Mus musculus: one gene and its partners. The protein of the gene in region 2 purifies or fractionates together with the protein of the main gene of each other region. This does not show direct contact. Links are inferred from orthologs where the notes say so. Each region holds a gene or a part of one and is shown on either strand. Other genes may lie near its edges.

Region 1 (10,815 bases), on a different chromosome or scaffold from region 2:
CCCAGGGATCATCTGAGGGTTTAGCTGTACATTCTCTCTCTCTCTCTCTTTTTTTTTTTTTTTTTTTTTTTTTTTTGTGGTTTTTCGAGACAGGGTTTCCCTGTGTAGTCCTGGCTGTCCTGGAACTCACTTTGTAGACCAGGCTGGCCTCGAACTCAGAAATCCGCCTGCCTCTGCCTCCCAAGTGCTGGGATTAAAGGCGTGCGCCACCACGCCCCGGCACGTTCTCTTCTTGAATGTGTCCTGGGGCTTTGACTTTGCCCCGGCAGCTGTTCTATTGTCCCTCTGAAGCAGCAGAACCTAGACTGACTTGTCTCTTGTTTGAATTCCAGCAAATCCCTTTACGAGTACTCCAAGGACTTTGTCGTGTCGCTTATCCTAGGGATGGATGTGATCCCCAGGTCAGTGTGCGTTGAGGTTGGCCCAGAGGTCCAAGCTCTTGTCAACCCCCGAGTGCTGAGCTCAGTCTGCTCTCTCTACCAAACAGGTTAAGTGTGACCAACATGGAGGACCTCAAGAGGAGGATCCTGAGAGTGATCGCTAACTGCAATAAGCCGAAGGTAACAACGGCTCAGCCAGGAGGAGGCATGCAGGAGGGGTCCCACACAGCGGGGCAGGCCGGTGCAGTGGCTCGCAGCTGCAGCCTCTTGGCCAGCACACTTCCTGCTCTGTCTCCTTCTGCCCTGTGAACAGACCTCTGTGGGATTCTGCTGTCTGAGATGCAGAGTGACAGCTGGGAAATGCTACTGTCCAGGCTGCTGTGACCATCCTCCCAGGCTTTCAGTGACAGTGTTCCCAGCCTTAGACAAAGGCTGACGCGTACAGACTATGAGAAGTTCTAGGGCCAGCTTGCTTGCCAGACTGTCTGACCAGCATTCACTCCTCATGGTTTGGGGAGGACCTCCCTCCAGTCTTCATCTCCACACACATACAATTAACTTTAAAAAAGAAAAAAGTAATTACAAGTGTTAATGGCAGAGGCTTGGGAGTGTACTCAGTGGTAGAGCACTTCCTTAAGCATTCAAGAGGCTCTAGGTTCAAACCCACACCCACAGGAAGAGAAGACAGGACTTTAGCCAATAGAGGCTGATAGCCATGAGGGGGGCAACAGTTAGCGTTGGCCTATAATCCCAGCACCTGGGAGACTGAGGTAGGACTGCCAAAAATGTGAGGCCGGGCCAGGCAGAGCAAAAGGAAGCTAAGGAGGGGGCAGGGCTGGGGCTCAGTGGTAGACCAGTTGCCTAGCATGTGTGAGTCCCTAGTTCTATTGCCATTGGGTAGTTTTAGAAAGGGAAGGAGGGAGGGAAGCCTAGTGGGTAAGCCATGTGGCACCAAGCCCAGTGTGAGGACAGCCCTTGGAACCCAAGGGGGTGGAGGAGACAGCCAGGTCCCACAGTTTGTCCTCTGACCCTCTACCCTCACCATACACATGTGCCATGCCAACCACAGAAACACATAAAATAAATGTGATCAATATTCATAAAGACTAGATCTGTGTCCGTGGGAGTTTTGACAGTATTCAAACCACTGCCAAAGTGTGTATCACGGGCTGTAGGTGCTTTTATTTTCTTGCCCTTTAAAAAAATGCTGTTGCTAACCAGAAATTTTAATATTCGCTTCTTACCAGACATCTAAGGTTTTTGTTTTTGTGAGACAGGGTTTCTCTGTGTAGCGCTAGGCTGTCCCGAATCTCCCCCTGCCTCCTGAGTACTGGGATTAAAGGCCACCACTGGCTTTTTTGTTTTTGCTTGAGATAGGGTCTCAGGTAACCTGGGCTGGCCTTGAACTGTGTAGCCGTTGACCATGAACTTCTGCCTTTACCTCCCAAGTGCAGAATTACAGGTGTGCACTACCGTACCTGGTTGTATATGGTGCTGAGGATGGAATTCAAGGCTTTCTCGATAATAGTTTTTTAGAAAGTAGCACCCATCTCCTGGGTTAGCTCAGTGATACAGTCTTAGTACGTATACGTTTTAGCTTTGGGATCAATCTCTAGCACACACACACACACACATGTAAATACACATATATGTATATACACACACATATACACACACATACATATATATATATATATACACACACACACACACGTGTGTGTGTCACGATTTGGGTTTTGGCTATTGCTCCAAGTACGGTGGCTCTATGGTTGTGGTAAAACAGGGCTGCCTGAAGGCTGCCACCCAGCACCAGACCAACCTAGCCCTTGGATCTCGCCTTTTAGTACAAGATCTTGCTGCATGGCTGTTGGTACGGACTGTTCGGAGGAAGCCCTGATAACTTTCCAACTGAACTGGATGAGGGCACCCAGGGGGCCCTGACTCAGCCTCTTCTTGGAGAGCAGACACTTCTAACCCGATACTCCCCGGGCTACTGTTCCAGCGACTCCCCACTGGACTCCCCCACCAAGTACCCCACTCTGTACCCACCTGGCAGGATCATCCACCTGGAAGAGGAGGGTGGTTCAGGGAGGTGAGTATGGTGACCCTCGAGTCACGCCCACCCACTGAGGGCGACTCAGATCTGCCCCATGTGGAGCCTCACTAATGGATATTCTCTTCTGTTCGAGGTTTGGCTGCTGTTCTGCTGCCCAGTACAGAGCGAGGTGGGCACACGAAGCAGAATTCAGTAAGATCCTGATAGGCCCAAAGATGCTGATTGACCACATGCCTGACGTCATGATTCGGGCCCTGGACAGAGTGCTTGCCGACAGGACAGCCTGCGTCTCCTGCCCAGGGCAAGGCGGCTCAAGTGTACCGTAGTCAGCTCTACTGGACCCTGACCGGTACAACGGACTGGCAGTTTCAGGAGGTTTTTTTGTTGTTGCTTTTGTTTTTTTCTTAAGACTGATTGACTGTGCGTGGCTTCTGTGAGGCTGGTATGGTGGTATCTGTCTATCAACAGTTACCTGAGGGGTCCCTGCAGAAATGGACACCAAAATGACCATACAATTTATACAACCTTTTCTTTCTTTCTTTCTTTTTTTTTTTTTTTTTGCTTGTTTTGATTTTTCAAGACCGGGTTCCTCTGTGTGGCGCTGGCTGTCCTGGACTCACCCTGTAGACCAGGCTGGCCTCAAAACTCAGATTTGCCTGCCTCTGCCTCTGAGTGTTGGGACTAACGGCATGGGCCACCACTGCCTGGCCTATGGAACCACTTTTAACCATAGTATTAACAGGATCCGGAGTTGGGAACACGCATAGGTGTTGGGACTTGTAGGCCAGCCCATGGCATAAGCCACCTAAGAAGTCTACATCTGAAGACCCTTAGTGGGTCTGCAAGGCCCCTGCTCCTGATGGGCTCCCATCCTGCTGTTTACACGAGTCTGAACTTTAAGACAACAGATGAGCACTTTATACTTGCCTGCGTCTTTCCGGGGTCACTAGGACAGCCTGAGTGTCCTCTGAGCTGGCACTGCAGCCCCTCCCTCATGGATACATGAGCTAGCTGATCACTAACTCTTATGTATGCTTAATTCTCACATTATCAGACCTCTGAGCCAGGTGGTAGGCTCAGGGGAATTTAAATAAATAAATAAAGTAGTTGGTATACCATCAAAAGCCTGCAAGGAAGGTGTGGGATTCCTGAGAGCCAGGAACTTGCTGAGTTCCAGTGTGCCATTTCCCCGTGTCAGTCAGGACACTGGGATTACAAGCATGGACTACTGTACCCAGGGGTGATGAGGTTTCACCTTTCCATTCTAAATCAAGTTGCCTTGTCTCTCTGGTTACTAAGAACTACATACATTACGGAATCCAACAAGCACAGAACACAATTAAAAATAAAAAAAAAATCCAGAAAACAACAAAAAAGTATGGTGGTGGCTTGGGCCTGTTATCTTCACCACTTAGATGTGGGCAGGAGGACCAGACACTGGAGGTCACAACTTTAAAGGATCCAAGCCATCTTTTGCTACACGAGATGTTGTCTCCAAACAAATCTCCAAAGGGGGGCAAGTAAGCCTGAAGGGAAACCCTGTAGGATACTAAGTATACCTGTAGGGGGCGCATTGTTATCCCAGCATTCAGAGCAGGGGCAGACCATTCTCTGCCAGCTCATGCACAGCCTGTTCCAAAGTGAGTTCTAGGCCAGCCAGAATAACCACACAAATGATGGCGGTCAGAAATCTGAGGGGAAATCCAGGACCCTGGATTTAAGGTGAAAGCCCTCAGAGACACAACTGTCATCTCATGTATGCCCTGGAGCTATGATGGGTATAAAGACTTGATGGTCAGGTCAACAAGGCAGCCAGGATGGCTTGGCTAGTGTCGCACGTGTGAGGACTTGGGTTCGAATCTGCTGGAGAGCGGTTAAGAGGCTCCCTCAGTGGACCAAGAGCCACGGCTGACCGTCGTGGTGAAGGTGCACGTCAGGATTTAGACTGGGAAATGGTACAAATTTTAATCCCAGCACGAGGGAGTTTGAGGCCAGCCTGATCTATATCCCACAGAGAAATGTGCGTGCACACACATGTAATTTTTATTTAAAGATTCAAAGTTTAAGAATCACCAATGAGGGCTAATCCTAATGGCCGTCTAACTGGTTGAGATGTGGTCCATGCTAAGCCCCGTGGCTCAGCTTCCCCATCTGCAGCACTCAGCCCTGGCACACCTCCCAGACACACGGCTCAGGCAGACATACCCCACTGTGGGGAGCCCCACACAAGCACCTCACGACGGCTTAACAACGGCTCAAACCAGCCCCACTCCACAAATGTGGCTGTGGGCTCACCTACCCTATTCTCTGAAGGTGGGACTCCATCCCTCCAGTGATCCAGGGTTTAAAAGTAGAGCAAACACGCCAAGAGCTTGTCAAATTCCAAAAACACAAGCATAACCAGTTGTATGATTCAAGGATTTATTAATTCATACATGCAAAACATACTGCTAACTGCATTAGCAAAAGATCAATGTAAAAACACTCCACAATTCTGCAACTGTCAATTGAAAAAAGTTTGTTCTAGTGGTTGAAAGGCCCAACACTGCATTCTTGCCAGTGAGTTAGGTTGTACAGGACAGCGTTAGCACTAGCAGTTGACAGAACCTCACAGACCCCAAGGAACATCTCTAGGCAGAGCCATGACAGGAAGCGTCTGTCCACGTGGGCGAGGTCTAGAGGCAGCATTAGTCACATGACAGTGTTGGTACTGTTTAGAAGGTTCATAGTTTAAGAATATCTAAAATAGTTTAAAAACCGTAAAGCTGCAACACATGATTTGCACACCTAGTTGCTAGGAAACTAAGGAAGCACTAACTAGCTCTGAGTAAAGTAAGGCGAAAACAGGACGCACTTCTACTGAGCTACCAAAAAAAAACAAAAAATCTCTGCGTTATCAGAAAGATCTTATAGTACAGGTCAGACATATTGCTCGTTAAGAAGGGGTTCTAAAGAAAAGCACTTGCTAAGTTAGAACTGTGAGGGTGGCCAGTTTAAATATGGACTCAACGCCCCATCTGGGGAGGGACGGCAGTGGAGGGTGGGGGGCGCGAAGGGATGCTCAAGAGACACTGATAAGATCGGCCATTTGTCACCTACTGTTTGACAGAAATTAACCGTTAAAAAGCTTTACCCGTGACACTTTTATTCAGTTGAATTACTCCATGTACAATGTAGTGTAAAGTAATCTCTACTTCATATTAGTCAAAATACTGTCTGTCTCCTTTGATCATGTCGTGTTTCACACTCCACCCAGCACACCCACAACTAGGAACAGAATACTTCATTAGAGGCAACACAGGAACCAGAGTTCTGTTCAAAGTCTGCAAAAGCTAGTCGGCTGGTCTTTTAGAAAACTCACTATGAAATCAAAGAGCTGAGCTGTCACACTCATCACTGTGACGTACAGTACAAAGTTACGTAATGAACATGGGCTGATAAGTTACAGGTGCGTTACATGGCAACGTGTCATTAAGGAGGCTGTGCTGTGTCACACGGTCTGGGAACTCTGGAAGGGTCTGCACCCCTGGCTCCAGAAGCTGCGGTCTTCTTAGCAACAGAAGTCTCTCAAGAGAGTTTAGTGCTTAGGTGTTCTCAGCACAACGCAACTTAGTTCAGAAGGTATTTTGGCAATTTTTAATCTGAGCAAGAATGGGGGATTTTAAAAATAAGGCTTTAAGAAGGCTTTGTCATTTTAGGGCTGAATTTTAATAGACTGTAAGTTGGAATTCTTACATTTAAAACAGAACCTTAAAATTATTGACTGGTTCATTGGTTCAAAATGGTTTTATGGAAAAATTAATCTGTAACAAAAACTTGGCATCAAATGCGAAGGCTCGCTGATTTTTGAGCAAAGCGTACAAAGGTTCCAGGCAGGACCGAGAACGAGGGGCTCCGACATTTACAACAGCAGGCATTTTCTCTTCCTCTTCTTGACAGGAGGGGGACAGAGAACCGCTCGGATAGCTTCGTCAAACACTGTCTTGAGTCCTCGCTGTGTGAGAGCTGAGCACTCCAGGTATTTGACAGCACCTAGAAAAGACAGCCACAGGCAATGACAGATGTTCCGCAGGACAGCCCCTGAGTCAGCATGGCGTGGCCCAGCAGTCAACTCCCACACCAACAAAGGCCTGGCCTGGCTGGTTGCCCAAAGCAAAGAGACCCCAAGAAGGAGAAACTTCCCTCTCTCAGGTGGACTCCAGCTGCCTGGCACCAGGACTGCAAGGCAGACACAAGAAATGAGGGTTTCATACCGATCTCTTTCGCCATGGCCAGCCCCTGCGGGTAGGTGATGGGAGTCAGCTTCTTCTCCTTCAGCTTCTCAATGGTGTCCTTATCATCCCTAAGATCAAGCTTCGTCCCCACGAGGATGATAGGAGTATTGGGACAGTGGTGTCGCACTTCAGGATACCACTACACGTGAAGAAAGAAACAAGGTGAAGCCCCTCCCCTCTTCTCTCTGCCATCCTTCCTTCCTTCATGCAGCTTATGTAAACACAGTGAGCACCAGCCCTCCAGCCACAGCTGGCCCCAGAGCGTCCCTGCCTTTTCCTGAAGCCTTAACCACACATACAATGGCTCGCCAGGCTCCCAAGACAGGGCAACACAACAGACTACCTGTAAAGGACCAAGGAAGGAAGATGAGGGAATGTACCCCCAATCTATAGGATCACCCTAGAAAACTCACCATCCACTCAGGGACCATTATCCCCAGCATGGTGGGTCCCAATCTCTACACCACCAGCGTCCCTCACCCCTTCTCACTAGATTGGTTCCAGATGCTGGAGCAGAAAGAAATGGTCACCAGACCACTTCTGAAATACTTGTCACTGCAGTGGGGACCGTCCCAATGAAGCTCCAGAGACCCATCCCCCAAAGTCAGAGACTTAAAAATGGCCCACAGAGCTACTAAAGCCAAGCTAAACACCCCAAGCTCCCAGCAGCCAACGGCATTCATTGAACTGTTTATTATTCTTGCTAGGACTGACAGTATGCAGCAATCTTCCCATAAGTCCCACTTACCTTTGCACGGACATTTTCAAATGATGCAGGACTCACAAGGGAAAAGCAAATTAAGAACACGTCCTACAGAAAGGAAACACAGGCAATGTAGAGGGCAGTCTTGGACTGTGGGAGCACTCTGCCTCACGCCGATAGCTAGCGAAGCACTGTCAGAGAGAGGCACTGCGTGCCTACTGCTACCTGCAACTAGGTCCTCGCTGCTCCCACCTACCTCTCCAGTCGGCCAGAGACTCAAAACCATTACCAGGCCTGCCTTTTGAAAAAGGGGACATGGAAGAAGAAACTGCTGGAAGCTGTTTGATGCTAGGGAGGGATCAAATCACATTCCCAGGAGGCCGCTTGCTAATCACGCCCAACTGGAAACCTAATTATCTGCTATCAACACAAATTCTTCTGAAAACCATGGTCTCTCTGAGGCTCATGAATGCAGAGTCGATTTAAACACATCCTCCAACAAGGCACGCTTTTCATTAAGCTCCCCACATGCACCGTAAGCTCAAGGCTCCTGACATCTCGAGCGTCCATCAGCCAGCTTGTCACTGTCCTTGGCACAAAATGGAGTTCAAGAGTTTGCTCCCCAGCCTTCCAGCCAGGGAGGGGACTCAGTGTGCCATCTCCCAGTAGACAAGCACCAACTACTGCACCATCTTCCCAAGCAGAGTCAAGGGCCTCTGGAAAAGCTGCCCCAGTGTATCTGTGGCCCCAAAGAAAGCAAGGACAAGCAGGGCAAGAATCTTACGTCAGGAGAAACTGCCGGCTCAATAGAAAATATCTGAGGTTTCTTCCTGTTATTACACATAAAGTAAAATTCAGATATTTACCTGTATAAAATTATGCCCAAGAGTTTCTAAAATGTTAGGCTTATCAAGACATAGCCCTAGAAAAGGCAACTATGCTATTTGTGAAATGTATACAGTTCCCAAGCTAGCACCTTCAACTATCCAGCTGGTATCTTGTACCTGAAAAGGAAAGAAATGTCCCACACAACAGCTTTTTATAAACAATGGTTTACTTCAATGCTGGCGCATGCACAAGCCTATCAGAGAATCACCAGGGCCTCCCAAGCATCCAAGTTGATTCCACACCCTCTCAAAGCACAGTTGGGTTAGCTCACCAGCGCTGCGCAGCCCCCACAGCCCACCACACAGAACACCAGAGTCAGAGAAGAGGCCCTGGGAGTGGTTAGTCTGGGTGAGCGAGAAAGCACCCACATGAGCACCAGTGGACCCTCCACACCTGCACCTCCAACCGTCCCAGAGAGGGGCTTCCGGACACCCCTCCTTTCACATGGGAGGACGGGAGCAAGCAGCTCATCGGCCACTTTATAACCCACTGGGAGTGAAGTCACAGGCCAGAGGAAGCTCATTTTATCAAGAGCAGCCTCTCCTGAGTGAGTCGGAGGAAACACTCAGGGAGCTGAGGCTCAGCTCTTCCTGGAGACTCAGTGAGATAAGAGAAGAGACAAAGCTGGAGGCTGAGGTCGACTCAAAGTCTTACATACGGCAATCGGCTTGTCTTTGCCCCTGGAGGGTCTATCTTTACCACATGTGTCTCCAACCTAGTAATGCAGGAGAACTTTGCTTGAGTTCGATATAAACTAAGAAATACAAAATCAATATAACCTGTTAGTTTCCACACACGTTTGTCTCAGCCCTCCTGAGGAATCCAAAGCTGTGCATTCATGTAGGTCACCTTGGAAGCTGAGAGCCACACATCATTACTCCATGCAGCTGGAGCTGAGGAGCTACCCACCCCTGCGGTTCAGTAAGGAAGTCACGGGAAGGCTGGGCCTGCCACCACGTCACTCCCGCACTTGACAGAATGTAACACACTCACAGAGCTCAGCGTTCAGAAAGTGGCCTGTTGCCGGCATGCAGTACTGACAAGGTCTTCAGAGAACTCCACCTTCTCAGAGATAAGCCAAGAGAACCTCAGAGTCGGGGGAGACGCCTGCCTGTAGGCACAGCGAAGCTTTCCAGAACAGAGCCTAAGGGATCCAGGCTGGCGGCCTCCTAGCCCCGCTCTGGGAGGGAAGAGTGGCTTCAGACTGGAGTAAGTTCTTGAAATGAACTAAGGTCCCTTGGGGGGGTTGCTAAGGAACTCTGTAGGTGACAACCTTTTCCATTTTCATCATAATACTTTCCTTTTGTTTCTATACTCAGTAAAAATTGACAATTTCCCAATATGAAACCCCAGAAATTCTAATAAAAAACAAGCGCAGTATGATTTTAATTTTACCTCACTCAAGCTTGTATTTACAATCAAAGAGTAACAATCTCCAGACTCCTGGTTTCATCTGTGGGCTATTTCTAAGGGTGTCCTAAGGGCTTGACACAATAGACCCCACCAACAAAACAAAACCATCAATCCAGTGTTTCATGTTGTGACAGTCTTCAGGATGGCTCCAATATTGCTGGAGCACCCTCCAGCCCCTCCACTCCACTCCACAGTCCTTTAGTACCTTCCCGATGGAGCAGAGATGCACAGCTGGACCACAGCGCCACCCTAACTCACGTGTGCATTATGCCATCAGCCTCCTGCTCTCTTCCCTTTTCACCCCCAACTTTGGCCTAAACACAACTGTATGACATTAGTCGGCATCTGATGCTTTCTCCTAGGGTTAACCCCTTGTTCCTGTACCAGGGCAAAGGGGCTGTGCTGTGTCTCTGCTCCTCCCTGTCCCCTCCCTCTCGGTGGCGACCATCTTTCCTGAGGGCCTGACTACTACTTTCCTAGATCACCAGGACCTTTGTGACGCCAGCCTTTAATGAGAGTCTCCAGTAACTTTAGCTCCCACGTCACCAGCCACGTCCCACGTCAACTCCTCAGCAGTCAAAAGTACAGCAAGGGCTGAAGAGCGTTCACTTAGGGACATGCTTGCAGGGCAGGCATGAGGAACCCTGGGGTAAGCCCTGAGTCCCAGCAAGATACTGGGACTTAAAAAGCAAGGTGTGTCTTGAGGGACAACACCTGAAGGTGGTCTCTGTCATACCCAGATGCAAACACACACAGAAGCATATACCAACTACAGCTCGAGTGGTCCCACCTGCCACCTGTCCCCAGTGGGAGGCAGCTTTTACAATGAAAAAGGGCAGGACAAGAGGCGCTGGAGCACTCACCACCAGACACAACACACACACACACACACACACACACACACACACACAGAGTATCTGGACTTGAGGCTCACACGTGGATTTCTCCTTTCCTTTCCTTTCCTTTCCTTTCCTTTCCTTTCCTTTTCTTTCTTTTCTTTTGAGGCAGGGTTTCTCTGTGTAGACCAGGCTGGCCTCGAACTCAGAAATCTGCCTGCCTCTGCCTCCCGAGTGCATGGATTAAAGGCGTGCACCACCACGC
Region 2 (11,308 bases):
TCAGACTCTGTGGCCTGCCACTGCATCCCCTTCCCCTAGCTGGACTGCCTGGTCAGGGCTCAGTGGGAGAAAATGTGCTAATTCCTGCTATGACTTGATATCCCAGGAAGGGGGTAGTACCCAAGGCAGGAGTGGGGGGGGGGGGTCCCTTCTGGAAGGAGCAGGTAAGGGGATAACCAGGGGAGGGATGTGTGAGGGTGGGACTGAGAAGAAAGAAGGAAGGGAGAGGGCTGTGACTGGGATGTAAAGTGAATGAATAATTAATTAATTAAAGAAAAAAGTCTACACTATAAAAGCACAAGATAAAATATTCATCCTCAGTCTCGGGGCAGAAAGTAAAAAGAAATATAAGTAGATACTCCAGCTATCAAGTCAGAAAGCTGGTCCTCAGGCGACTGCAGAGGCCAGAGTGTGGTGCCAGGAGGCAGTATGGAGGAGCCTGCACTAGGCCTGAGTCAGTGGGGAATTTCTGTGAAAGCAGCAGAGATCTCTCTCTCTCTCTGAGGCCATGATAATGGACCTCCCATGGTCCAACTACCTAAGACCAGAGGCCTCCCAGGGCCTCTGCAGCAACTCATGTGGGAACTGGGCAGCACTGTAGCATACAGGGTCTCACCAGCCAATCACACAGCAGGAAGAAAGAGGCTCATCTCTCAAGAATTCAGGCAGCAACAGACCAGAGAGACTAGAGTTTCTCTCCTGGTGATTGGTATCCAGCAGTACTAAGCCTGCAGAGTACCAGGGAGAGGAGACAGGAGACAAAAGGAACAAAGGTCAATCCAAATGGGTAACCAAGGATTCAAGTGAACATCAGAGTGACCAAAGATGAGATTTAGCCGGAGAGGGACAACAATGTCCTCACAGCCAGAGATCTAAGTGCAAGGGATAGACAGTGGCCCAAATGTCCTCTCACTTCACACATGGCACCTCCAAGGTCAGAGAACTATCAGATCTGTTGTCCCTAATCTGACGTGTAACATGACTCCTGAGATGTCAGTTAACACCATACACCACTAACCAAAGAAAAAAGAATGATACGGGCACAAAAAGAGTACCACAGCATCAGCAGGTACCATGACCACCAATCTGCCCACACTTCATCACATAGGACTTCCCAGAACTTCATCACAACCAAACCAGGAAAAGCTGGGCAAAATCCCCATTTTAATCTACAGAGGGAGAGACTGTCCGCCTCCGGCTAGATCTCATCTTTGCTTTCACAAACCTAACAATGCTGTCACAAAGAACGTATCAGCAGGATCTCTGCAACGATCTAATACCCAGAGAACCTGCAGTCCCCAGGCCTGAAGAAGAAACTTACATTATCATGTCACAGATCTCTCTGATGGCTTCAGAAAAGAATAAAACACCCAAGATAAAAAAGGAAAAAGAAAAAAAAAATAGTATTTGCCTAAAACTGCCATGCAGGTGGGAGCAAGCAAAGGAAAGTTCTAATCCACTGAAGCATCCTGAGTATCTCAGCTGGACATGCTAAGGATGTGAGAGGTTTGGGGAAACAGGAGTAAGTTACACTGTGTGCTCAACTCTCGGGGGTGGAAATGCCAAGCTTACCCAGGGTACCTGACAGACCAAACCAACCCTCAACATCTCACCTCACCATGGATAATAATGACACAGGGACAGCCCACTGGAGAGCCTAACAGTACAACAGCCTAACGGTGCAACAGCCTAAGTCTCCAAGTTTGTGACTGTGAAAGGGACACAAACCATTATTATAAATTTGTCAAAACCCACAGAACGAGGCCAGGAGGATGACTCAATAGGCAAAGTTGCCTGACACAAGCATGAGGACCTGACTGTGACCTCAGCGCCCAAGGACAAGTCTGGAATGGTGGTGTGTGACTGTAACAGGGCTCTGGGGTGAACAGGAAGGCAAGAAGACCCCTGGGGCTCAATTGATAGATCAATGAGAGCCAGGTTCAGTGGGAGACTTTATCTCAAAAAGGTGTCAGACAAACAAGTGATTGAGGAAGACCCCTACCTTGGACCTCTGACTTCCATATTCACACACACACACACAGACACACACAGACACACACACACACACACACACCCTGACAGAATACACAATGCCAACGGCAAATGTTCCTATAAACCATGGACTTCTCCTAGAGAAGTCACAGTTTTCGTTGAAGGCCTGTCATAAAGGCAACATTCACTGCTGCTACAGATGAGGAGGAAGCTGGCGCGGGGTAAAATGTATGGGAACTGTTTATTTTCAGTCTAATTCTTCCAAAGCCTATAATTTGTCTGAAAATAACAGTCTATTTAATTGAGTAAAAATTAAGTGCTGACTTTCTGGTAGCCAAGAAAAAAAAACTGTCACTGATCACTGATCATACAAGAAATAACAGCTAGGTATCAAGAGTCAAAATTCTCCTCATATACTACACTGTCAGCTTGAAACAGCCTAGTATCAACTGAAAATGGTGCTTCAGTTGAGAGTCTTCTTTATCGGGTTGCTCTGAGGATATGTCTATGTGGGTGTCTTGATTCATAATAGAAGTAGAAGAGCCCAGCCCACTCTGGGTGTTACCATTCCCTAGGCAGGTGGTCCTGACTCATAGAAGGAAGGTAGCTGAGCATAGCCGTGAACAAGCAAGAGGGTGAGACAGCAAGCAAGTCCTCTACAGCTCCTGTCATGAGTTCCTGCCTTGATTCCCCACAAGGATGAATTGTGACCTGGAAGTGTGAGCCAAATAAACTCTCTCCTCTCTAAGTTGTTCTTGATCATAGTGTTTTATGACAGCAACAAGATAGAACTAGAACAATGTGATGCTTGAAGATCGGGGAGATAAAGTGTCAGAGAAGTCTGGTGAAAGAATTGCCCTGCAACTATAAGAAAGAAAACTGCTTCCCAGCATTATGAAGAACATGCCTGACATTGAAAGATGTCATCTCTAGTGGGGACACTTATTGTTCCTTGACACAAATAACCAGAATCTTACTTTCTTGTACAGCCACCACCACCAAGTAGAGATGTGGACATCAGCAAGCTCATGGCTAGCTGTATTGTGCCCTCATTTAGCGCCTCATCTTAGAGCCAGGCTGTGCCTGTCCACCACTCGGCAAGCCTCCCGAGTGCTGGCTTCTCCACAGTGTGGGAAAGTGACTCACTGTCTCTCTCAGTAAAACCTGGGATCTGCTTTCAAACCAGATGGACCTGAAGCATCCTAGACACAGCAGGTGGACTCCAAACTGTACGAAAAAGAACTAAGACATTGTTTTCCCCCCAAGCAGTTAAAGGCATAAATCAAAATGGCCCACTATCTTTTCTCAAAGTGAATGGTCTGAAACTAGCAAGGAAAAACAGGGATGGGAGTATTTACCAGCCACGCCGAAAGGTCGCCGCAGCCCCGAAGTCAGCTTCCTCGTGTTGCTGTCCCTCAGCTCCATGCGACCGACACGGACAATCTGGCAGACGAAACTAATTTTCTCCCTTTTCAAGTCTTTGCTCCCCAGATCCTAAAAATATGAATTTTCATACATCATTGTGGAGAACTATGATTCAACACAAGTCCAATTGAAAAGGATAAAAATGGACTAAGAGTCTGTTCTCAGACCAGCTTAGGGTATTTTAAAGTTACTTACGTGACAGGAAGGAATAAAGTAACAGCAGACACTGAGCTAAGCGACCTGGACACTAGCTCAAGCGACAGGAAGGAATCTCTCTCCTAGCCGTACTAAGTCAAGAGCAAGCTTAGAAATTTTCACAATGGGCTCAGGGATTCCGGGATTAGCCAGTGTCCCAGGTGGCACCACCACCACCCCATAGGAATCATTCAGTGCTAAGAAGTCCCCAAAACAGCCATCAGAGCAGGACTCAATGACACTCAACATGTACAGCCATGGGTGCACTCACCGTAAACACAGCTCGCAAGTTATGTAACCGATCAATATCTTTTGGTAATCCTGAACTTGACCAGCGGACCAGATAGTTCTCACTTGAAAAAGAAAAAAAAAAAAAAAAAGAAAAGAAAAAAGAAAAAAGAAAAAAAAAAAAAAAAACAGGATCAAATTAAACTCCCAAACATAGACGGGTACTCAATGTATCCCATAAGACTTCATAATTAACAATATGAAGATCCACTATGCATCTGACCCCTGAGCTTACAGAGCCTGAGCTAGGCCACAGATAAACTCTTGGCGGGGCAGGTAGGGTATGACCAACCATTTCCCTTTCTACACCATGGGTTAACCCGTGTAACACAAGTATTCGCAAATGACATTTCAATATTTATAATGTGAAAAGCCTCTCTGAATGTTTAGAATGACAACAATACAGAGCCGAGTATTGAATTGGGAACAATGTATATTTAATTCAGAGCCTTCGGAAAAAGCCGAGCAAGCCGTAAAATACAAATTGTACCTCCATCAAAAAGAAAGAAAGCACTTATCAGAAATGAGAGTGAAAATCACCTACGTGCTCTGTTTCCTGCAAACACTACATTTTCAAATTTTGATACTTCAAGTGAAAATACAGGAGAGTTTGATATATAGATATGCACACACTTCACACAGTCTAATCACATTTTTTTTTTAAATCAGGATAAAGATAAAGTTATATTAAAGACTGATGGGTTTCCAACGGTTTTGTTCAACAGATGTTTATTATGACTCTTCGTATGACAAGAGAAAATACTTGGCACACACAACTAGCCAAACAGCTCAGAGAGACAGCAAAAAGTTGAAAGCCACAGATGGCATTCCTAGACAAAACGCTTGCAAAAAAGTAAAGGTGAGGCTTGTGGCCAGAAGAGCCATGGGGAACAACGTGTTCACCTCCCTGTACTGCCTACAGTCCTGCCTGAAGAGAAGTCAGGGCTGGAACTCAGAGGCAGGCCCTGACGCAGAGGCCATGGAGGAACATCGCTTATTAGCTCGTTCTTCTTGGCTTGCCCAGTTTGTTTTTTAAGTAACCCAGGGTCATCTTTCCACAGTAGGCTGGACCCTACCATAGCAGTCATTAATCAAGAAAATGCTCCCACAGACTTGCCTATAGTACGATTATGGTAGAGGGATGTTTCTCAATTAAAGATCCTTCTTCCCAGATGACTCCAGCTTGGTTCAAGTTGACAAACTAACCAGCCCATTTCCTTCAGCTGAGAGCAGCTCCCACAAGCAGGACCTCACCATGTTGGGTCTCATCTTCCGACTGTAAGTCAGAATAAACCCTCCCCAGTGCAGATTCTTCTAGTCAGGTATTTTGATCACAGCAATGAGAAAAGCAATTGATAAAATACCCGCAATGGGGAAGTCACCTACCTGATGAATTTGGACTCCATGGGGTCATAAAGAGACATGAGAACTTCAGCATCTTCTCCTATTTTACAAACCACATTTTTGAGGTTAACAAACAAGGCCAGCGATGGGGTGGCTGCAAACTTGGCTTGTCTGTTGATATCCATGTTCTGCTTTTGAGACTGAACAGAAAGGTAGAAAGTCAATGTGAGCAACCTGGACTATAACCAAGGCTCTTTTATTTCCCCTGTAGAATAGTGAAAAGACACTGCCAACTGTCACATCTCATGCCACTCATACAGTCACTCTGTGTCCCCACTGCATGCTCTCAGACAACACACTGCCTATCCAGCCACAGCTAATGACTAGTGTTTGCAAGAGCATGGGCCTTCCGAGTGTCTATCAACAACTGGAATGACGGTTGCTGGACTGGTAGCTAGCTTTAATTTGGGGTTCTGAATGATTGATGCCCCCAAGAACTCTGTGTCTCACTCTGCATTATGTTCCCAGTCCCTGGAACATGGCAGACGCCTGGCCAATACTTGCTGAATTAGTAGGTTATGTTGACTTTACCCCACTCCTCCTTGTCTGAAACACGCTGGACACTTGCTTTTTGAATGTTCTTTTTAGTGTCAATTCTGGACTTCCTTAACATTTTCTGATATTCAACATGGTTGGTGAGAAATACAAGGAGGGGGTGCCCCCTCCCTGAACCCCCACACACCCCACCCCCTGCCCCATTTCCACCTGCTGTGCAAAGTGGCAAAGTGCACATTAAGGAATGGAACCTACTTTCTCCTCTTGCAGTCTCTCCTCCACTTGTTTAGAAGCAACTTCGTGTGCTCGGAAGAGACTGATGGTGCTAGTTAGTTCCGGGTCCAAAATGTTCCCATCTTCATCCCTCACCACCAGGTCCAAATCAAGAATTCTAGAATACCAAGAATCCAGAGCATGGAGAGCATGAACCAAGAGAGGGGGTCCCCTAGCACAGTGTCAGGCCCAGCCACAGAGCAGATGAAATGCCTCAGAAACTGGGACCCATCCACAGATATCAGAGAATGCCATTCTGTGGCATGGCTTTCTGTAATTCAAAATATGTCACACTGGGAGAAAGAAAATGACTCAGTGTTACCTATATTTCAATAAAGCCTTCACCTTCCAATAGACCTTCAAAGTCCAAGTGAAGTATGCATGACTAACAACTGTGGAAGATGCGGGTCATTAGAGCCCATTCTGCACCCTCACATGTATACGACCCATGGGTACATGATGGCAGAAAGCCTCTGAAGGATCGAGGTCTATGTAACAACTTTCACTAACAGGACAAAGCCTCTCAAATCTCACCAACTCATCCCAACCCTGAACCTGCTCTAAGACTCAAGACCAAGACCATGGGTCAGCATTTTATGAATGATGTCAGTGATGTATGGGTGGGGTCAGCTCTGATGTGGGCGTGGTCAATGAATTGTAGGTGCTGTGGGTGAGCTCCTGGAGGCCCAGGCTAAAGGCCTGACAAGCTATACCTGGTGAGGCCACCTTGAGGAAGATATATATCAGGCCCTTTGCCAGCCCACCATGAGTATCATGTGATGTCATTGTCACCTCAGTCCAGATAGAAAATCTGGTCAGACCCACTTCACAAAACAGAAAACCGAAGCTCAGTGAGGTCAGTTATGTAGTTCGGATAAAAGATAGAAAGAAGATGGGGTGGCAATATTCTCACCACAACATCATCACCATATGAGGTAGCCTGTCAGTCACAGCAACCAGTCTACATGGGTCTCTGCAACCAATACACAGTTGGTTCTGTTGTGGAGTGTTGGCTTCACCATAACAAGGTTAGAGACTAGTCCCAAGAGATGGCAAAGGGTCTAAAGAAGGGGATGGCCACCTCCCTGTGAAATCAGAGTGTGTGCGTGTGTGTGTGTCTGTCTGTATCTATGTGTGTATGTGTATGTACAAGCAGGTTTCTATGGATAGGTATGGTTGTGGACCTGTCTGGTGAATCCGAGTAAAGGTGTATGCATGTTTGTCTCTGTGTTTTACACAGCCATCTTTGTAAAGAAACAGTCCGTGACCTTTACCATATTTCCCACAGTTCCCTAGACACTCCACAACCCCACCCGACTCAGGTAAAAGGTAAAAGCAAGAATACGTATGTGATAATGATGAGAGCAACAAACTGCTCCCTGAGAGACGAGACCATCCCAAAACCAAACACTCTATGCTTTTCTTTATTATTATTATTATTATTATTATTATTATTATTATTTATTATTATGTCACTCTCTGAAGGGGGGAGGGGGAGGATAAGCAGAGAGCATGGGGCTTTAGAAGAATCCTGGCCTGCAGTCCTCAGGTGAACTTGTCTTAATAAGGTTGTATTTCCTATCAAAGCAGTAAATTACATTTGGAAACACTTTCTGTCTTAACAGGATTGTTCCATGGCGTAACGTACTTAGGCTGTTTCCTGCAGCCAGATTAAGCAGGTGGTCTCTGAACCTAACTTTGAAAACAGGCTTCTCCAATACAAAATGAAATCAGAGTTCCAAAGGTTTGCTTTTGTAAACACACAGTCTTGAAACAGGCTTCATTGAATCAGTATCTAATGCCCTATATCTGGAATCTCTGGCCTTGGAGGCATACAATCAATCAATCAATTAATCAATCAATAAATAAATGCCTTTGCTCCTCACATTTTAGCCCAATGCCGCCACCATATGATGCAGCCTGTCAGTCACAGCAACCAGTCTACATTTGGTCTCTGCAACCAATACATAGCTGGTTCTGTGCAGGTGTTAGTCTCACCTCAACAAGATTAAAGACTAGTCTCAGGGGATGGATGCCACCTCAGGAAATCAGAGTGTGGGCCTGGGTCAGTAGCTTTTGAAAGCAGGTAGTCTTGTAATGGGTTTCATGAAAGCTGTGTCTAATACTCTATATCTGGAGTCTCTGGCCTTGGAGGTAAAAATAAAAGTCACACCTAATGTGATATTAGGAAACTTTCATACATTAAAAGGGGAATTGTCAGAAAACAAAATTATGCAATAATTCAGTTATTCACAAAGGCCCTATGGCTTGTCTAAGATTCTGAGCTGATGGGCAGGAGGCAGCCCCTGTTCTCACCTCCACATCCTCAGGTGTAAAAATGGGGAAGGGTGCAGACTACACCTTAAGTTTTCCACCACCCAAACAGCAGTCTGACTGAGCTCTTAACCTAGACCAGACAGCAGAACTCAGAACCCAAGGGGCAGGTCCCCGGATTGAGTATAGTGAAACCTGCCCAGGTGTTTCTGAGGTTATAGGGCCTGAGGAAAATGCAGGACCAGGTCATCTTTAAGGCTTCTTGCAGTGTAACATGTGAATAAGCAAATGGGTACCAGATGGGAAAGGCCATAACTTCATCCTAACTACTGATATAGCAGAGATAGAACCAAGACAGTCACATTCCCAGCAGCTAATATTAGAGCATGCTGTTTTCAGGAGTGAGCCATCTTTCAAGACACTCAACTAAACCAGGGTGGATGTCTCCCATAAATGGAAACATCTCAAAAAGGCAACGTATAGTTCATCTCAATTGTAAGTTAAGAGGATTGTGCCTCTGTCTGTTAGATCAAGCATGTCAACTCTAGGGACAAGTTTCATGGTGACTTCTAACGTCTAGTCTGACAGACCAAGGGACTACAGGAAATAATCTAGAGTCAAATGCTATGAGTAGAAAGTAAAATTATAAGTAGAATATCATAACAGGGGTGGGACAAAACAGCAAAAATGAGGGGCTACCCCAACCCAGCTTCACAACTCCCCCACTTACACAGCAAAGACTACAGGTTTCAAGGGTGACAGGATAAACCAGATTAGAATGTAAGCCACTTCATTATTTTGATATTAGAAGTTTGGTTTTATGATAAAATGTAATTGAACCATCCTCCAGGCCTAGGGTTGTGCTATTACTGTGGAAAATTTAAGCATGAAATCACCATTTGCACAAACAAACCTGTTTCCATAATCAATTTTGGCTGTGACCTTCTTCTTCAGCTCTTTGAGCTCATCCTGGGGCAGAGTTCCAGAAAGGATCTGCGACCGCCATTCAATAAGGTCATAGATCATGTGTCGCACACTTCGAAACATCTCTCTATTATCTTGCTACATAGGAGAGAAAGTTAAAATGTAAGGGCTCTGATTTAAAAAACAAAAAGAAACAAACAAAAACAAAAAACAGCACAGTGGAGATTATGTCAAATGGATCGTTCTTCAAACTAAAGTAGAATATGCTCTGCTTCCTGGGATCCAGTGACTGTCAAAGAAGAGCAGGTTCACACATCAAACAGAGCACATTGTATAGGATTTGGTTCCTATGAGACCCTGAAAGAACAAGAAGTAAGCCACGTCCTCAGCATTGAACACAGCAAGAACAGAACCTTGAGCCTCAGTCTGGCCTGGAACTCGAAGCAGCATCCTGTGCATGACCAATGCATGAAGGCAGCCAGATAGCTGAGGATAGTTTCCAACACAGAACTATAAACTCACCTAAAACATTAGGAGATTCCCTCTTCAAACTTCATTGCTCCATCGTGGAGCCTGAGCTTCATAGTTAGCAAAGACTGGCATGTCACCATGTCAAATATTGGCTATGCCTGGAAGCACTGACTGTTGTACTCTCTTCCCATGACAGTTCTGCCCCATTGCTCACCTGGAGATGCCTGGGTCCCAAGACCATGCTGCCAGCTGACAGATAAGCCATCTTGTACCAGCCTTCCCTGGTACACTGTGACCCTCACAACATACAGCGGCAGAAAATGTCTATCCATGGATACTCTTTTTGCTTCTACATCAACTTGCAGTAAACTGCAAGATAAGATCCCAAACTGACCCGTCTCACCTTTTGTGTATTGGGTTTGTGGTACAAGAACCCCCACAGGTTTGCACTTGTTGATGTAGCTCATCAAGAAGACTAAAGTTGTCTACAATGTTCAGCTTCTCAACATCCAAGTGGGAGTTAATTAATAATATTTTAAACACTATCATTGTTCAAAAATTAAAATGTAGAATTGCTGTTTTTAAAAAGGAGCTCTGGTCTGTATTATCTGAGATACTCCCTCCTCACTAGCTCCTATTTTGAAAACCATTTGAAACCCCTCTTTAGAAAAGTTTTTAAAACAGCCCTACCACCTACCCAACACACAGCACTCTGACAAGTTATATTATTGTGTGTGTGTGTGTGTGTGTGTGTGTGTGTGTGTGTGTGTGAGGGAGGGGGTTGTTACAGCAGAGGCTAGCAGAGGGCATCTGATCTCCTGGAGTTGGAGTTAGAAACTTCCAGATACAAGTGCTGACAATCAAACTTTGGTCCTCTAGAAAAAACCAGCAAGTGATCTTACCTGCCGAGGCACCTCTCCAGGCTGTTTGTACATTACCCTCGTTCTATTCCTGCCTTTTTTTCTCCTTCTTCCCCTTATTTTTATTTGTTGCTGTTGTTTTGAGACAGAGCGTCATGTAGACTAGGCTAGCCTCAACCTTAAACTATTCTTCTAGTCACTCAACAAGTATTTTTTGAGACCAAACACTGTGCCAAGAACTGCAGTGGTGTGGGATATTTGATCCCATTGTGACCCTCAAGACTGTGAATTGGATACACCGGGTTGTAGTGTAGCTCAGCCCTAACAGACTCCTTTAACCCCAGAGCTAAATAAAGTCAAGTCTAGGTCAAGAGGCAGGGCAAGAAACCAGCTGACAGGGAGTGAGCGTAAGTAACGGAAAGGAGGGACTCTGTGTTGGGAGGAATGTGTTTAAGGGCATGAAGAAAGAAAAGAAACCTTCTCCTTCCGGGGTGTTTGAGGCATAGGAAGGTCAGCTGGGCCCTTTCTCTGCCTCTCTCAGGGAGCAGGCTTTTACCACAGTGTTTGGCTCCTGAGTCTTCACTGGTAAAAGGGAATGGTTGGGAGTTTGTTGTTTAAAAACAACACTGCAGAGAGTAGATAGAACACAGCAGAAACTTCAGCCGTAAACTCCTACTCTCCCTGCCTCTGATTTCCGAGTGCCCATC
Region 3 (3,600 bases), on a different chromosome or scaffold from region 2:
CCATCCTAATGGGAGAGACGACGATAAGATAAGCAGATGAATAAATGAATAAATAATGCCAACTAGTAAAGAAATACTGAGAGGGAGACTGGTAACCTAAGAAGACCCAGGCCACCAAGGCCTTTTAAACTGAGAACTAGTGGAGGCAAAGGATGAGTCATCTGAACATGTGAGGAGAGCACCTCGGGCAGAAGAACAGCATGTGCAAAGGTCCTGGGGTGACAAAGCAGTAAACATGAAAAAAAATGTAAGGAAGTCAAAATTGCCGCAGTTAACAAGAGCCTATTGCTGTGGTGGGTATGGTCATCCACCATGTGACCACCTAATCTCTGGCCCAGTGACTGTTCAGGCACTGAGTTTCCACAGACTATGGTGTCCCCAAGCTTCCTGTTCCCCAACTTTCTCCAGCTTACCCTACTTCCTCACCATGAGGCCCCACAATTGAGGTCATTCTGTCAGTTTATCATAACACCATCTAACTTAACAAGAATCAAGTAGCAAATACAGTCAGAAAGGCCATGTACACGCTTAACTACAATGCTGAAGGATAGCAAATGGAGCATAGTGACAAGTAGAAGATCAAAGGGTCAGCTAAGAAGAAAGAGGGGAGGGCAAGGGAGGGAGAGAAAGGAAGAAGGAGGGAGTGAGGGCAGGCAAGAAAATAAAAGTATGGAATCTGTGTTACGAGCCTTCAAGTGACCAGGTTCGATCCCCACTCCTGCAAATTGAGAGAGTGAAACCAGTAATCCTTGAAATGACCTTGGCCGCTACTGAAGAGGTGAGACACGTGAAGACCATAACCAGAAGCCTTTAGTGGACCGGATTTACTGCCTGCTTTCCCAATCTAACGATTATTGCAAGTAAACTGGATTTTCCAGTCTCAAGTTGCTCTCGAAGATTTTTAGTATGTAAACGATAGTTATTTTTATTTTGTACATAAAATTTTTAAAAAATCTGAAATTCTTCCCTGGTTTCCCTCAAGACACAATTTTCTTTCTGTATCTTAGGTTGTCCTTACTGGCCAGAGGCAGGAGGTCCACAGTCCCTGGGTGCATTTCCTTGAGCTCAAAGCGCCTCGGGAGCTGTCCAGAGGCCCTCGGAGCTGTCCCTGCTTGAGGCCAAACTCTGCAGCGTCGGGTCAATCCAAGTCCAACAACCCTTGCCCCAGCTGCCTAGTTCAAAGGGCCCCAGGCAGAAGAGTCAGTGGACGAGAGCCCCAAGCCCCGAGGGGTCAATAGGAGAGCGCCCCCACCGCAATGACGCGCGCCAGCACACACACACACACACACACACACACACACACACACACACAAATATAAGCCTGGCGCGCGCCCTCAGCACAGCACAGACTTCCCAACCCCACACAAGCGCACCGCGGCGGGCTGAGTTCTGGGTTTCCTCTTCCTCTAAGCCGCGGGGCTACCGCGGCGCGCAGCTCGCTCGCTCCCTCCCTGGCGCCCCATGCCCGCCGCTCTCCCGGGAAGACGCGCGGTACGCCCCCTCCCACGCTAGCCTCTCTCTATCGAAGACCCAGCCGCCCAGAGGGAAGCCCCGCACGGCCCCGGGAGGCGGGTCTTCCTTAGCGAACGCCTTCAGGGGTCCCCGCAGCTCATCCCGCCCCATCTCGGGAGCGCGCTCTCCGGGGATCCCCTCCCGTCTGCGACACACGAGAGCCCCGGTGTCCTCGCTGGTAAACTCGGAGCCGCTTCCTGACTCTCCAGCCCCACGACTGCTGGCCGCAAGGTCCCAGGAGCACTCTGCCAGGTCCCAGCACCCCTACGCCGGTGGCGCAGCCCGCCCGCGCCCCCTCCAGCCGACTCTGCCCCGGCCGTTTCCACGGGTCCTTGCACTGAGCCCCATCCCGGCGCTGCCCCCGGTGTCCGCTTTTCCCCACCCCGTACCTCTAGTCACTCGGGACGCCCCTTTGCCCAGACCTCCCAACTGCAGGGCGCCCGCAGCCCCCACCCGCCCGCGCCGCGGGGCCCCGGGAGGAAACAAAAGTGCCTCCGCGGCGCCCTCGTCTTGCCCTGGCCCCCGCCCGGGCCGCCGAGGTCAGCGAGTCGGGCGCCGCGCCAGCCCAGCAAACTTTACAAACCTGCCCGGGGTCTCAGGACGCCGCAACGAGGGTTCCCAGAGGCCGGAGCGCCGGGGCAGGAGACGTAGACCGGTGCCCGAGGCTCTGTCGCCGCTCTCGGAGGCGCGGACGGCGGTGGCTCTGCCTCTATCTCGTGCCCATCCTCGCCCGCTGCCGCTGCCCGAACGCACGCACTTAGACTCGGGTCGCTGGCCGCTGCCGCCGGCTGCCGCTGCTCTCACTTCCTCTTCCTTCCTCCTGCTGGCCAGAGACACATCTTGCATCTAGGAGCATCCCGCGAGCTGCCGCGAACTCTGGGCAGCCGATGCGGAGTTGCCGCCGCCGCCCCCGGCACCTGCGCGCGGACACGCGTTTGTTGGCGCGTTTGCTGCCCGCCCCCGCACTGCTGCCCGCCCCCCTGCACAGTGCCTAGGACTGGGTGCCCACGACTTTTTTGGAGTCCCCTACTTAAAAAGAGGGAAATGTCACACAGTATGCACACTTCATCTCTGTTATAAATAGTGTGGGATGAGCATGACTTCTCTGATGAGCTCAGAAACCGCGTTTTGCAGGCACTAATTAACTCCGTCACCCTCGCAGCGCCACCTCTGGAGCACAGAGAGCTCCTGTTCCCTTTTTAAGGTTTCATTTTGGACACCTTATTTGAGATTTTCCACCAAAGGGGAAACTTTGGTGGGCTGCTTTAAAATAAGTCCTCTAAGAACCTGCTGTATATATCTCCCGGGAAGCATGGCAAAAATAACAGGCCATTTCCTTCTCCTCCACCACCTACGAATTTACTCTAGTCTAAACTGCAAGATTTTCTTCAATGAAGCCAAAGACTTCCTTGTGTGGTATACCCTGGCATGAAGCAACATGTTCTACCCTGAATTTGTGATCTGTGGTTATTGTATTATTGTTGGAGTCATGCAACGTACTCCACTAATTTTTAAAACAGAAATCAAATACAGTTAACTCCCAACCTAGCAGGCAGGAGAGAAATGACAGTTGGAAAGTTCAGGAGAAACTTCTGTCTTCTCCGAATTCAGAATTCTGTGCTGGAGCACCTGGAGAGGGCAGGGAGATGCTGTGCATAGCCTATCTCTAGAAAAGACGAGGACTTAGGGGCAACACCATAGAAGATATCAGAATCTAAGGGAGAAAGCAATGCTTCCTTTCGATTAATCACCAGAATATTTAAATATAAACTGTGTGATAACTGACCATTAGCAGTCATTAGGGATTTAGCATGAAAAAAAAATGAAATAGTTTCATTGTTTTATATAGATTTTATCATTTCGATAAATAATAGTTTTACAGTTCCTATATAATAAATCAATCGGACAGTATATCAGGCTAGGATATGAGTATGTGGTTAAAACTAATTTCACCAGATCTTTTTATTAACATTTGTTTTCATACAATATATCCCAATCATGCTTTCCCCTTCCAAACTCCTCCAAAAGGCTCCCCACCTCGCCAACCACCTCATTCTTCCTTCCTTCCTTCCTTCCTTCCTTCCTTCC

Evidence for each region.
Region 1: the proteins of Dock1 (region 2) and Rac1 purify together in Homo sapiens (pull-down; 6 studies listed by BioGRID and IntAct, with this or other methods). This does not show direct contact. The link is inferred for Mus musculus from reciprocal best matches to the Homo sapiens genes DOCK1 and RAC1.
Region 3: the proteins of Dock1 (region 2) and Elmo1 purify together in Homo sapiens (affinity purification with western blotting; 12 studies listed by BioGRID and IntAct, counting the BioPlex papers as one, with this or other methods). This does not show direct contact. The link is inferred for Mus musculus from reciprocal best matches to the Homo sapiens genes DOCK1 and ELMO1.

The regions. Positions count from the first base shown.
Region 1 is NC_000071.6:143,500,638-143,511,452, forward strand, and holds the end of Rac1 (ras-related C3 botulinum toxin substrate 1), read right to left. Parts: intron 9,017-10,815; coding exon of another isoform or gene 8,960-9,016; intron 7,522-8,959; coding exon 7,459-7,521; intron 6,850-7,458; coding exon 6,690-6,849; intron 6,469-6,689; coding exon 6,338-6,468; 3' UTR 4,844-6,337; downstream 1-4,843. Other genes in the region: Daglb (diacylglycerol lipase-beta), read left to right, coding at 333-401, 488-560, 2,225-2,472, 2,570-2,762. UniProt on the Homo sapiens protein: Plasma membrane-associated small GTPase which cycles between active GTP-bound and inactive GDP-bound states.
Region 2 is NC_000073.6:134,739,086-134,750,393, reverse strand, and holds part of Dock1 (dedicator of cytokinesis protein 1), read right to left. Parts: intron 9,409-11,308; coding exon 9,260-9,408; intron 6,191-9,259; coding exon 6,055-6,190; intron 5,445-6,054; coding exon 5,287-5,444; intron 3,966-5,286; coding exon 3,884-3,965; intron 3,487-3,883; coding exon 3,351-3,486; intron 1-3,350. UniProt on the Homo sapiens protein: Involved in cytoskeletal rearrangements required for phagocytosis of apoptotic cells and cell motility. Along with DOCK1, mediates CRK/CRKL regulation of epithelial and endothelial cell spreading and migration on type IV collagen.
Region 3 is NC_000079.6:20,089,267-20,092,866, reverse strand, and holds the start of Elmo1 (engulfment and cell motility protein 1), read right to left. Parts: upstream 2,361-3,600; 5' UTR 2,096-2,360; intron 1-2,095. UniProt on the Homo sapiens protein: Involved in cytoskeletal rearrangements required for phagocytosis of apoptotic cells and cell motility. Acts in association with DOCK1 and CRK. Was initially proposed to be required in complex with DOCK1 to activate Rac Rho small GTPases.